2 linked regions of the Drosophila melanogaster genome follow. The gene in region 2 interacts genetically with the main gene of each other region. Each region holds a gene or a part of one and is shown on either strand. Other genes may lie near its edges. The genes, in order: ss and dan.

Region 1 (4,932 bases), 8.8 Mb from region 2:
CGTAATTGTTTTTTTTTTTTGTCGTTTTTTGTTCTTTATCAGACTAGCAAGAACAGCGAATTACGCGACTGCCTGTCGATGGTGAAACGTATTAAGTTGAAGTTTTACGGCGTAGTCGGGAACTTTAATAAAAACGAAATTCAAGGAGAAGGGGAATTAAATTGCACACAAGGAACTTACTCTGAAGTGCACAACGCCTTGTACAAACAAATGTTTCAGTTTAAGTTGGTAAAGTTTTAATAGAAATAATATCATAATAACATATAAAGTTATTATTATCTATAAGGTCTATATCGAAATCTTTTAAAACATCTAATGTAAAATTTTAATACTAAAGCTAAGCGGTTAATAGTAAATATTCCCCGTAGAGTATCTTTGAAATGGAGCTATACTGTTAATAACTGGTTTACTAATCCGACTACAACTAAGTAGACGAACATTACACGCCATATTAGATGAGTTGGATAACCAATCTATCAACTGCGTGCTTATCCTAAATAGATCCTGGTTCTTCGCTTTTCCGAAGATAATCTACGCAGACCTGAGCTGCCCCGTTCTGCACCCTTTCAAGACTGAGGCGCTGAAGCTGATCAGTGGCTCTTGATTATGGGGGTCGCAACATTAGCGATCGGTGGTCTGCACTTGGCGAGGGGGCGTGGCCGGGCTGCAGTTGCCGCTCCTCGCCTTCTGCATATTTAGCAGTGCTGCTCATGATAATGCGTGAGTTCTCATATATTTATATTGAAAACATTATGCTTTGTGCGGTTGCAGCAGCTAAGTACACAAAATTATCAGAAATTATGTGCACCTTGGGACAGGCAGATTCCGATCTCCCCCAGCGAACAGCCGGAGGGGCCGCCGTCATCGTCATCATCATCAGCATGACCGTTCATCATCATCTCCATCAACTGTTTGGCTACTGTAATTTCACGGTAACCTGCCCCGACATGCATAATGCAAATCAATTTGAGGCTATCGGGCGGCAAAGGGGGAATTCACCGCCCTTCATTTCATCCGAGGGCCAAGTCAAAAGTCAATGGCGATGGCAATTTGTCAACAAAGTGGCCACCGGATCATTAATAATCGAATCTGGGGTATTCAAGACCAGTAGCTACGGAGATTGATGGATCGTCAGCGGGTGGCGCCACAAGGTGGCAAGCTGGTAAGTGGTAAGTGCAGCCAATCGCATTGATTGAAATCTTTCAGTAATAACAGAGCACCCAAGAACCCGCTCCACAAACATTCCGCCTCCCGCTGTGCATTTATATCTGAATCTGTATCCGTATCCGTATCTGTATCTTGGGATTCGGATCGGTATTGGTTTGTGGGATTGGACTGGGGCTTGGACTCACCTCTTGCCGTTGCGTCGCCTTCGCTTGGTGGCGTAGACGGTGCCCAGCTGGCTCATTGCTAGGGCGGAGTTCGTTATGGTCGCCGTCGTGAATGATTTTAACTCTTATTATTTTTCGTATCAATATTTCGTTGTTGTCTTCTGCTGCCTTCTGCTCGTCTGTCGTACAGGTTGTTTCCTCGTCGTGGCTTTCTTATTTCGCTTTTTTTCCTTTTGTAATTGGTTTTTATTTATTGATTTGGCTTGCTCTGGGTACACACTCTCACACACACGGACTCGCACACAGACACAGCCAGGAGCTGAGTGCGATCAGATCCGCTGAGATCCTGCTGCGGTTTTCGGTTTCGGAGTTGTAGCCACGCGTAAATTTCGTTTTTTTCTTCTTTGTATTTATTTTTAATTATCATCACGCTTACATTTTGTTTGCTTTTTCATTTCTCGCGCTCCTTTTGTTTTTGTTTTTTATTTTTTTGTGTATATTGCACTGTAGTTTCAGTTGGTTAGAGCTAAATGAGGGATTTAATGCGAAACTGTGATTCAGCAATTGAGAAAGGCTGGGAATTTTGATTTTTTTTTTCATTCGATTGTGGGTTGTATGATTTTCTAAGGCGATAACTTCGGTTCAACCTAATAGATTTTTTAAGTAATTAGTCCCGACGGAGAATGATTTCAGTTTATCTAAAATAAATCCAATTAGTTTAAGTTGGCAATGTCATGGAGCCGTTGTCTAATACGATTTGATTTTGCCTTGCATTGTAGAATAGTATAATATGATATTAAGGCTTTACTTTATTTTGAAAATTATATTTTGGTAAATTTTGAAAATATATTATTCATAAAAAGAATATATTTAAATTTGTTTCAATTTTTTCTCACAAAGGACTAAAAAAGTATAACAGATTATGTTAGCAAGTTATTAAACATCAGAGTCAACCAATAGTGTTGATTAATTTGAATGGCACATTCTAGTCAGAAAACTGTAAAAATCCCTCAATCCTTTTTCAATTGCTTTCAAAAACGAGTTGTTGTTTGTGTTGTTTTGTTTTGATTCGAGTGGCTGCGATTTGCAGGTTATTGTTTTGGTTCTTTCGTGGCAACACTTTTGCTTTTTCACTTGCACTTTTGCCGTTTGTGTTGGTAGTGTTGTTGCTCGTGGGCTCTGGTTTATCAATGGGCGATGTTTGCGATGACGACGCATGCAACAGAGGAAATCAAAATCGGCACGGAACCAAAAGCGCTAACGCAAGAACGGCACGCAAATCATTTTCATTTTGCGGCACGATCGACGTCGACGTAGGCAGATCCGCCGGCAGAGCAACCAGAGGCGAGTTGTCAAAGTGACATTTTTCAGGCACGCACACACACACGCGCGCGTGGGTGTGTTGGAATAGTAAAATAGATAGAAGTGAATGACCGCCGGCGGTCTGCAATTCGCACACGTGACTCCTCGAAGCCTTTACAGAACCTCCAGTTACAGGGTATCGCGTGCTGCGTTTCGCTTTTGTTTCTGTTTTCGCCTCTATTGTTGTTGTATTGCCTTATTCGGGGGACACTCACGCACACACAAACACGCACGCACCTTTTAGCGGGATTCTGGCGACGGCGAAACAACCGTTAGGAGGGAGCAGCGACTGCAACTGCACGCGAGCGCCAGAAGCGAGTGAATGAATGAACAACAGTGCCAAAAAAACGGACAAACGGGCATTTGAAACGAGGCACAAAGGCGATGGAGCGCGCTCTCTCACTCGCACTCGGCGCGGTGCTCTAAGTCGCTATCTCTCACTCGCACTCTTTCAAACGTGACTCTGCTGCGCTGCGGCCACGTAAACGCTTTGAGATTCCAACAAGAACTGAGCGGCGCCACGAAACGAATGGAAAAACCAGTCCTGGCGGAACACACTGGCCATGGAACACGCGGGCGGCGTGTTTGGGGCCACTTCCAGTCGTCCTGGCAACGAGCGATCGCCAAGCGACGCGGTCGCGTGGGAGTGAGACAGAGCGAACGATGTTCCACTACCAACCGTTCCAGCGTCGCCATACGTGCGACTGGAAGGGAGCGACCAACCAAGTCGGTCTTGGAAGTGCTGCAGCTATCTCGTTCGCACCCTGTAGTTTCGTTATAGGGGGCGTGTTCGCACACACATACTACACTGACAGCCTAGTAGCGCCGACTCTTTCCAGCGCACTACCAACTGGAAATAGAAATTCGGGGCACATCGCTCATCTCTTAATTAATTAGGCGGTAATTAAGAGCTATCAGTGTTATCGCTCAATGGCATCTATCCGCCATACTCTTCTCCTATTTCAAACTTATCTGAGCCGGATTTTACCTCGTTTTGCCACTGAAATGCAAATTTTATTTGGTGTGACCAAAACCATTAAGGCCATAAACATGAGCACTCACTTCGCGCTTATCGCGAATGATTTATTCACATGTGCCACCTGACAACCGCAAAAGAACAAGGAGAACGAAATGCACACCGCTGCCCTGCACAAAACCAGAAATCATATTCCTACACCTAGACGGGCAAAATGTCCGTGCCCAAGAACCCGATTGGACAGTGTACGAGGCCCCTTTATCCCATGGCCCATATGCTGCGTCCGTCTTTGACCGCATGTCACAGATGGCGATGGAGATGCACTCGTCAAAGGTACAGTTGGCACTCATAAAGAAGTTTTTAATAAGTAATTGTAATTAACTTTAATAACAATCTATACAAGCTATTCATTTTGTAATTAATATGATTACTGTGATTTACCAAATAATTTTATGTTTATTTTTAAAAGTTGGCGAAATGTTACGTTATGAACTTTTTCCTTTGAAAACGTGTTGCATACTTGGTGGCGCTGGAAAGCCACAATATTCGAGCCCTTTCAATCATGCAGCCCATTGTAGTTCATTTGTGTGGTTTCCTAATTTGATTACTTACGTCCACTCTAATAAAACATTATTATTGTTATCGAATGACCACTGTAGAATGCCTTCAATTTCGAAAAAGCATTTTTCTTTTATTGTGACGTCAGCCATGTACGAAATTGTTGGCACTGTATTTGTATTGCGTGCAACTATTCAATGCCAAGTCAGAAGGCTGAAGAAAACAATATTTCCTCAGCTAGAATCTCCAGCAGTCTGGTGTCTCACTCAAATCTCGCTGCGTAAACTAAGGACAACAGCAGCTCCGAAGACAGCAGGATCAGAAGAATCGGGAGAATCAGAAGAGGATCCACTCCGAAGAATGAGCAAAACAGAAGGCAGCGCATGTCAATCGGTGGCACTAATAAGTGAGCTGAGTCGAGTGGAGTGGAGTGAAGTGTAGCAAAGTGGAAGGGCTTGCAACCAGTTTTGGTGCGTTGCAACTTTTTCCAGCTTGCAGCTTATCAATTTACGCTTCCACTTCGTAAGAGAAGTGCACAGTGCAGGTGCTTATTCCACCTCCCTCTAAATATTCTTATTTTGCACTGCCTTTCCTCTTCTTGCATTATCGCTTTAAAGTACAGTCATCAATTGATCTTTAAAATTGAGGGCCAATATTATGACCTTACACCTAATACTGTAAAAAATAGCAAAATATATATAAGAA
Region 2 (5,141 bases):
TCTTTGGCCATTCAGCAGCGGAGTCGAATGGGAAATGGGAAATGGCAAATGGGAATGGGTGGGTCTGAGATGGGGTAGAAGGAAAAGAATTTTTACTTTCGCTTTCTGCAGTGGGTCCGTCCTTGTCCTAGCCGGCTCGCCATTAAACTTTTCACGAACCGAACTGGGACAGTGAGAAGTGTGTAAAAAATCTAGTAACAACAGAAAAAGATGAAAGAAATAAATATAAAAGAATTACACCAAGTTTGTCAGTGTGTGTGTGAGTGAGTGTGTGTGGAAGGGGCCCGTCTGTGTCTGATGTTGCTGCTGTGCACACATGCACACTCACACACCCGAACACTTACACACACCTAGTCAGGACAGGACATATGTATGCCGGAATGGCCATACCCGTCAGTATGTCTGTAATGGCCAACCGTCTGGCCATTTCATCGTACACGTGAGTGTGTATGTGTGTGTGTGTGTGGGCTAAGAGCTTCTGATTTTCCTATATACAATTATAATTTTATTGTATTTACTATTTTTTTCGTTTCTTTGGCTTCGTATTGAACTCACTCACAGACACAGAGGGGCAATGCATGTGGCAATGTGGCAAGGACACCAAGGAGGGTCAAATGGGATGGGTCGGGATGAGCGAGGCGGGGGGAGGGGCAAGCGAAGGGGGGCAGGAGAGTCTGGCAAATGGAGGTCAACGACTGAAACTAGTACTAATATGTGCAAGCGTTTGATAGCTCCATTCGTTTGTGCTAATGCAGAAAGAAATAAAACACAAAAACGAGGCAACACATAAAAATAAGAATTCCGTAGATAAAAGAAAAAGTTGCTTTGGTCCAAACCCAATCGTGTGTTAGTGTGTGTGTGTCTGGGATGTCTGGGATGCTTCCCTCACCGCAGTTAAGTGTGTGCAAATAAACCATGTGTCTGCTGTAATGTTGGACCTGTTGGCACCAATGATCTATGTGGCTTTAAGCACTATTGCACCTTTTTTATTGTGTGTTTTCGTTTATGATTAGCCCGATTAATGTTGTGTCGGCATTTCGCAGTGGAACGAATTTATTAATTGTCGGGGGATTCAATATGAACTTTATCAAATTATCTAACTATGGTCTCATGTATGGGCAATACTATTTTAAACAATGAATCGATTTTCAGAATTACAGTTATATAATAAATAAATAAAAATATGTAAATCCTTTGATAATTTTCCTAGTGTTGAAATATCAGTGATGTTATGAATGATGTTGTTTTACAACACTGAAATGCTAATGATGTACGAGAAAAATATAATTATAAATAAAATAAAAAATAAGAAAGATAATAATAAGCAACTTTATTAAATACTTTCTAATTTATAAAACAAGATGAGAATAGTGACACAGAAGCGTTCAACAACTAAACGGATAGGAAAATAACTTTTTACCATAAATACAATCAAAAAGTATTGCATACATTAAGGGGCCAATAAAACCGGTTTCCTGTGTTTGTTAATATTGCAATTCAATATAAACTTGGTAGATAAAGGAAATCTAACTAAAACTCTTTAGTTATATAAAATTTACATTTTTTCAAGCTTATTTTACAAACCAAGTATCATATGGACAAAGTAATATTTGAATCTAAACTCGGAGGTAAAAAAATTAAATAAAAAATTAAAAATATTAATTTTTGATGGAAAGCAAATTTAAGTAATTGCTAACGCAGTGTTAGGAGGTAAATAATAAAATTACATAAGATATTAATGTTATACACAATATCTATCACTCCTGAATATTATTATAAATAAATATGAATAAATACTTTCTCGTAAAATATTTCCTGCTCTTTTGTATAAAAAAGTTGTTAAGTTGTTATTTGAAGGACCTACTAAGATTTGTACTTATTAATTTATAAAATGTGGCAACTATTCAAATACACAAAGAACTGCACTTATATTGTTTTCCAAATTGTGTAAAAATAATTCGTTTTTGTTATGTAGAAAGGTAAACAATAAATCTTCAAAACTAATCTCTCGAAAAACTTTTTATGTTTGGTTTCCGATTTAAATAAATATTTTTTGATTATTTAATATTTTTTCTTGTGTCACCAATTCTTCAAGTTGTGTTTAAAACACTCAGTTAACTGTTATTAATTAATGCAGAACTAACAATTACACTTTACGGATTGCTCAATTCACCGGTGAAATCAAATACTAACCTTTTAGTTATCTTCCGGGGGCGAAAATGGATCGGTGCCTTCTTCCAGCGAAGGCGGGAGAAATTCGGTGATAGCGCAACTATTTGCAGCAGTTAAATTATTCTTATCTCGACCGGCGATGTTTTTAAATCACTTTACTTATAGTTCACATGGATTTGAATTTATTGTTTTCAGTTAATGTTGTTGTTCATTTGAAAGTATAACATCACTCGGTCAATCACAATCGAACACTGTGCTCGCGATGCGGCGTGATGTTTACCGCTGCTGTGGCGTGCGAATTTTAGCGGCAGGACATGCGGTGCGGTGCGGTGCGACCTCTCTCTCGCGCTCGTCGAAGGATATTGTGATATTGTGACGCTGCGTCGCTGTGACGTGGATGTGCGAACCTGAGCGGCTAGCGTGCGGCGACAAACTACCGCGGCGGACTTGAGTGAATTTTGATTTTAGCGCGGCGAATTTCCGCACGGCGACGACGGCGGCGACGTCACGGGAAATTTAAAGTCGCACGTCCACGAAATGCGGCGTTTCGTTCTCACTCACATACACAAGCACACTCGCAGATATATGCGTCCTGCAGTGGTGGTTGTGTGCTGGTCAGTTGGTCTGCCTTGGTATTAGTAGTTTTGTAGTTGTCGTTTTTGTTTCTTTCACGTGTGCGTGAGTCGCTCTCTCTCGCTCCCTCTCTCGGACTCTCTTTCGCCCGCTCTCTTTCGCTCTCACTGTTGCGAAATTCGCGGCCTTTTTCGGTGACAGCCAAATGTACAATGATTAATAACGGTCAAGACGGCGGCGAAGAAGTCCTCTCGCTTTGGCTGCCCCGTTCGCAATATTCGCATTTTGGCATTTTCGCATTTTGGCCGGCCCAACCACAGGCCAGTGTCCACTCACACACACACATATCGAGCACACATACTAACACAGCACATCCTCCCACACACACACACACACACGTGCGGACACACAGCTGTGTGCAACGAAGACGACGCAATACTCGTGCTAGGCTTTTTGAGATTGAGAGACGCACATCCTTTTCGGCCTCCTTTCTTGCGCCCACGTGTGTGTGTGAGCACAGAGAGAAAAATCTTGATACCTTAGTAAAGATAATGTTATTAAATTTGGTAAGAATTCGAAATTTAGTATAATAATTTAGCAATTTTGTATCTCTTAGTTATGTACATATATTCCATGATTATAACTATGAAAATGAAATTTCATACAAATAAACGAATAGATGATACGATCGCTTGTGATGAAAAGTATATATTACTTTTCTGCCAAGCTTATATTTCCTTGTATTCTGTATTAGTTTTAGGTAAAATCTAGATTTTTTCCAGTGTAAGACTGTGTGCAACCTCAGGAGGCATTTGCTTGCGTTTAGCTAAGCCATTTTCTGCTTCCTTAAACGCTGGGCAACAACTATCAAACGAGCAACGGATCTGCGAGAAGAACGTGAAAAACCTAGCCGAAATCCCTGTCTAATTTTCGCAGTAGGGGGTGCGCCTTTTATCGTCACTGATAATTCTGCTAGTTTTCCCGCTGTCATGTGCTGCAGTTGTTGCTGTTGTGATTGCGGCCAGTTTTCCTCGCTTTGTTTTGATACATGCCTTCATCGCAGATTACGTGGGCTCGCCTCTCTTTCGCGACCGTTTCGCAAAGAGCTGAGGCAAATGAGAACCGAACATCCTCTTCCTTAAGAGAGAGAGAGAGAGAGAGGGAGAGAGCCAGTGAGAGAGCAGCTTTCGTCCTCGTCTTCGGCTTTTTGCCGCCCGAACCGAACGAAGTTATGACGGCAGGAGGTGGTGACCCCACGGGGAAACCCCCCTTGGGAAACCCACATTCTTGAAAACAAGGCGAATCCGTCCAACAGAGTGGCTTTCTTGGCTCTTTTCGTCGCTCTTTTCGCTGGAGCGTGACCGGCGATCGCCGAAGGAACCGGAATTCTCGAACGGACACTCGATCGCAAAGATATGGGCATGACATAGTGGTTGTTTCTCCATCGACTTTTGCAGGCAAATTGCTGCGGTTTAGAAATGTCAGATGGCGAAATAATCGAATTCAAATTGTGGGACAAGAAACTAATCAGCTGCAAATTTCAGGTGATAGCCAGCTTCAAAATATGTATTTCCCATATTTAGCTACCAAGAATAATATAATTGTAGTGTATATAGGTAGGCAGGACAATAACTTATGTTTTCCATTAAAGTGCCGACATATTCATACATATTCATATACTTAGTGCACAACATATTCAATGCTTGGTATACACCAATGTTTAACATGGTTACGCATTAAGATGTTTAGGTTCCTTGTAATATTAATTACCGAGCTGATAAGCTCTAGGTAGGAATAAAAAACCATGTTAAATAGATTGTTGATATCATTCCCAAGCAAGTTTCAAGTCAAAGTGTATTTTGATTAGTTCTGCGAGAGAAGAAAAACCTGACAAGTATTTGCACCATCGTGGGATAGCCCCGAGATTACGATCTTATATAATGCGTGTGTACACATAGGCATTTTGAGGTCGTAGACTTAGTAGTTGCTATGCAAAACATTTGCGCAGAGCACACACACAATCGCACATACATAGCTCCCTATTTCCCTATTGTATCTGGCCAACGAAGGCGGCCACTGACCATAATAACAACAACGGCAACGAAAAAGACAGCAGCAGTGTCGCCAGAGTTGCTAGTTGCTGCCTTTCGGGAAATCGCTAAGAAAGGTTTTTGAATCCATGTCCGAAACGCACAATCACACGTACACGCACAGCCACACGCACACGAAAACACAGGCCCAAGGATATAGTGTAGTCGTACATATAAGTAGAGGCGTATACACAACAAGGAGCAACAATAACGCAGGACTACGGAATACGGACAGCGGACAACGGACGACGGACGACGGACTACGGACGACCACGAGTATAGATGGCCGGCATGGGGCCGCATTGG

Evidence for each region.
Region 1: of dan (region 2) and ss, changing one suppresses a phenotype caused by changing the other (phenotypic suppression), as found in Drosophila melanogaster (one study listed by BioGRID).

The regions. Positions count from the first base shown.
Region 1 is NT_033777.3:16,400,488-16,405,419, forward strand, and holds the start of ss (spineless), read right to left. Parts: upstream 3,204-4,932; 5' UTR 2,931-3,203; exon of another isoform or gene 2,909-2,930; intron 1,858-2,908; 5' UTR 1,409-1,857; coding exon 1,353-1,408; intron 1-1,352.
Region 2 is NT_033777.3:25,182,482-25,187,622, reverse strand, and holds the start of dan (distal antenna), read right to left. Parts: upstream 3,241-5,141; 5' UTR 2,194-3,240; intron 1-2,193. UniProt on the Drosophila melanogaster protein: Probable transcription factor with a role in the retinal determination (RD) network. Regulates ato expression and is required for normal R8 induction and differentiation.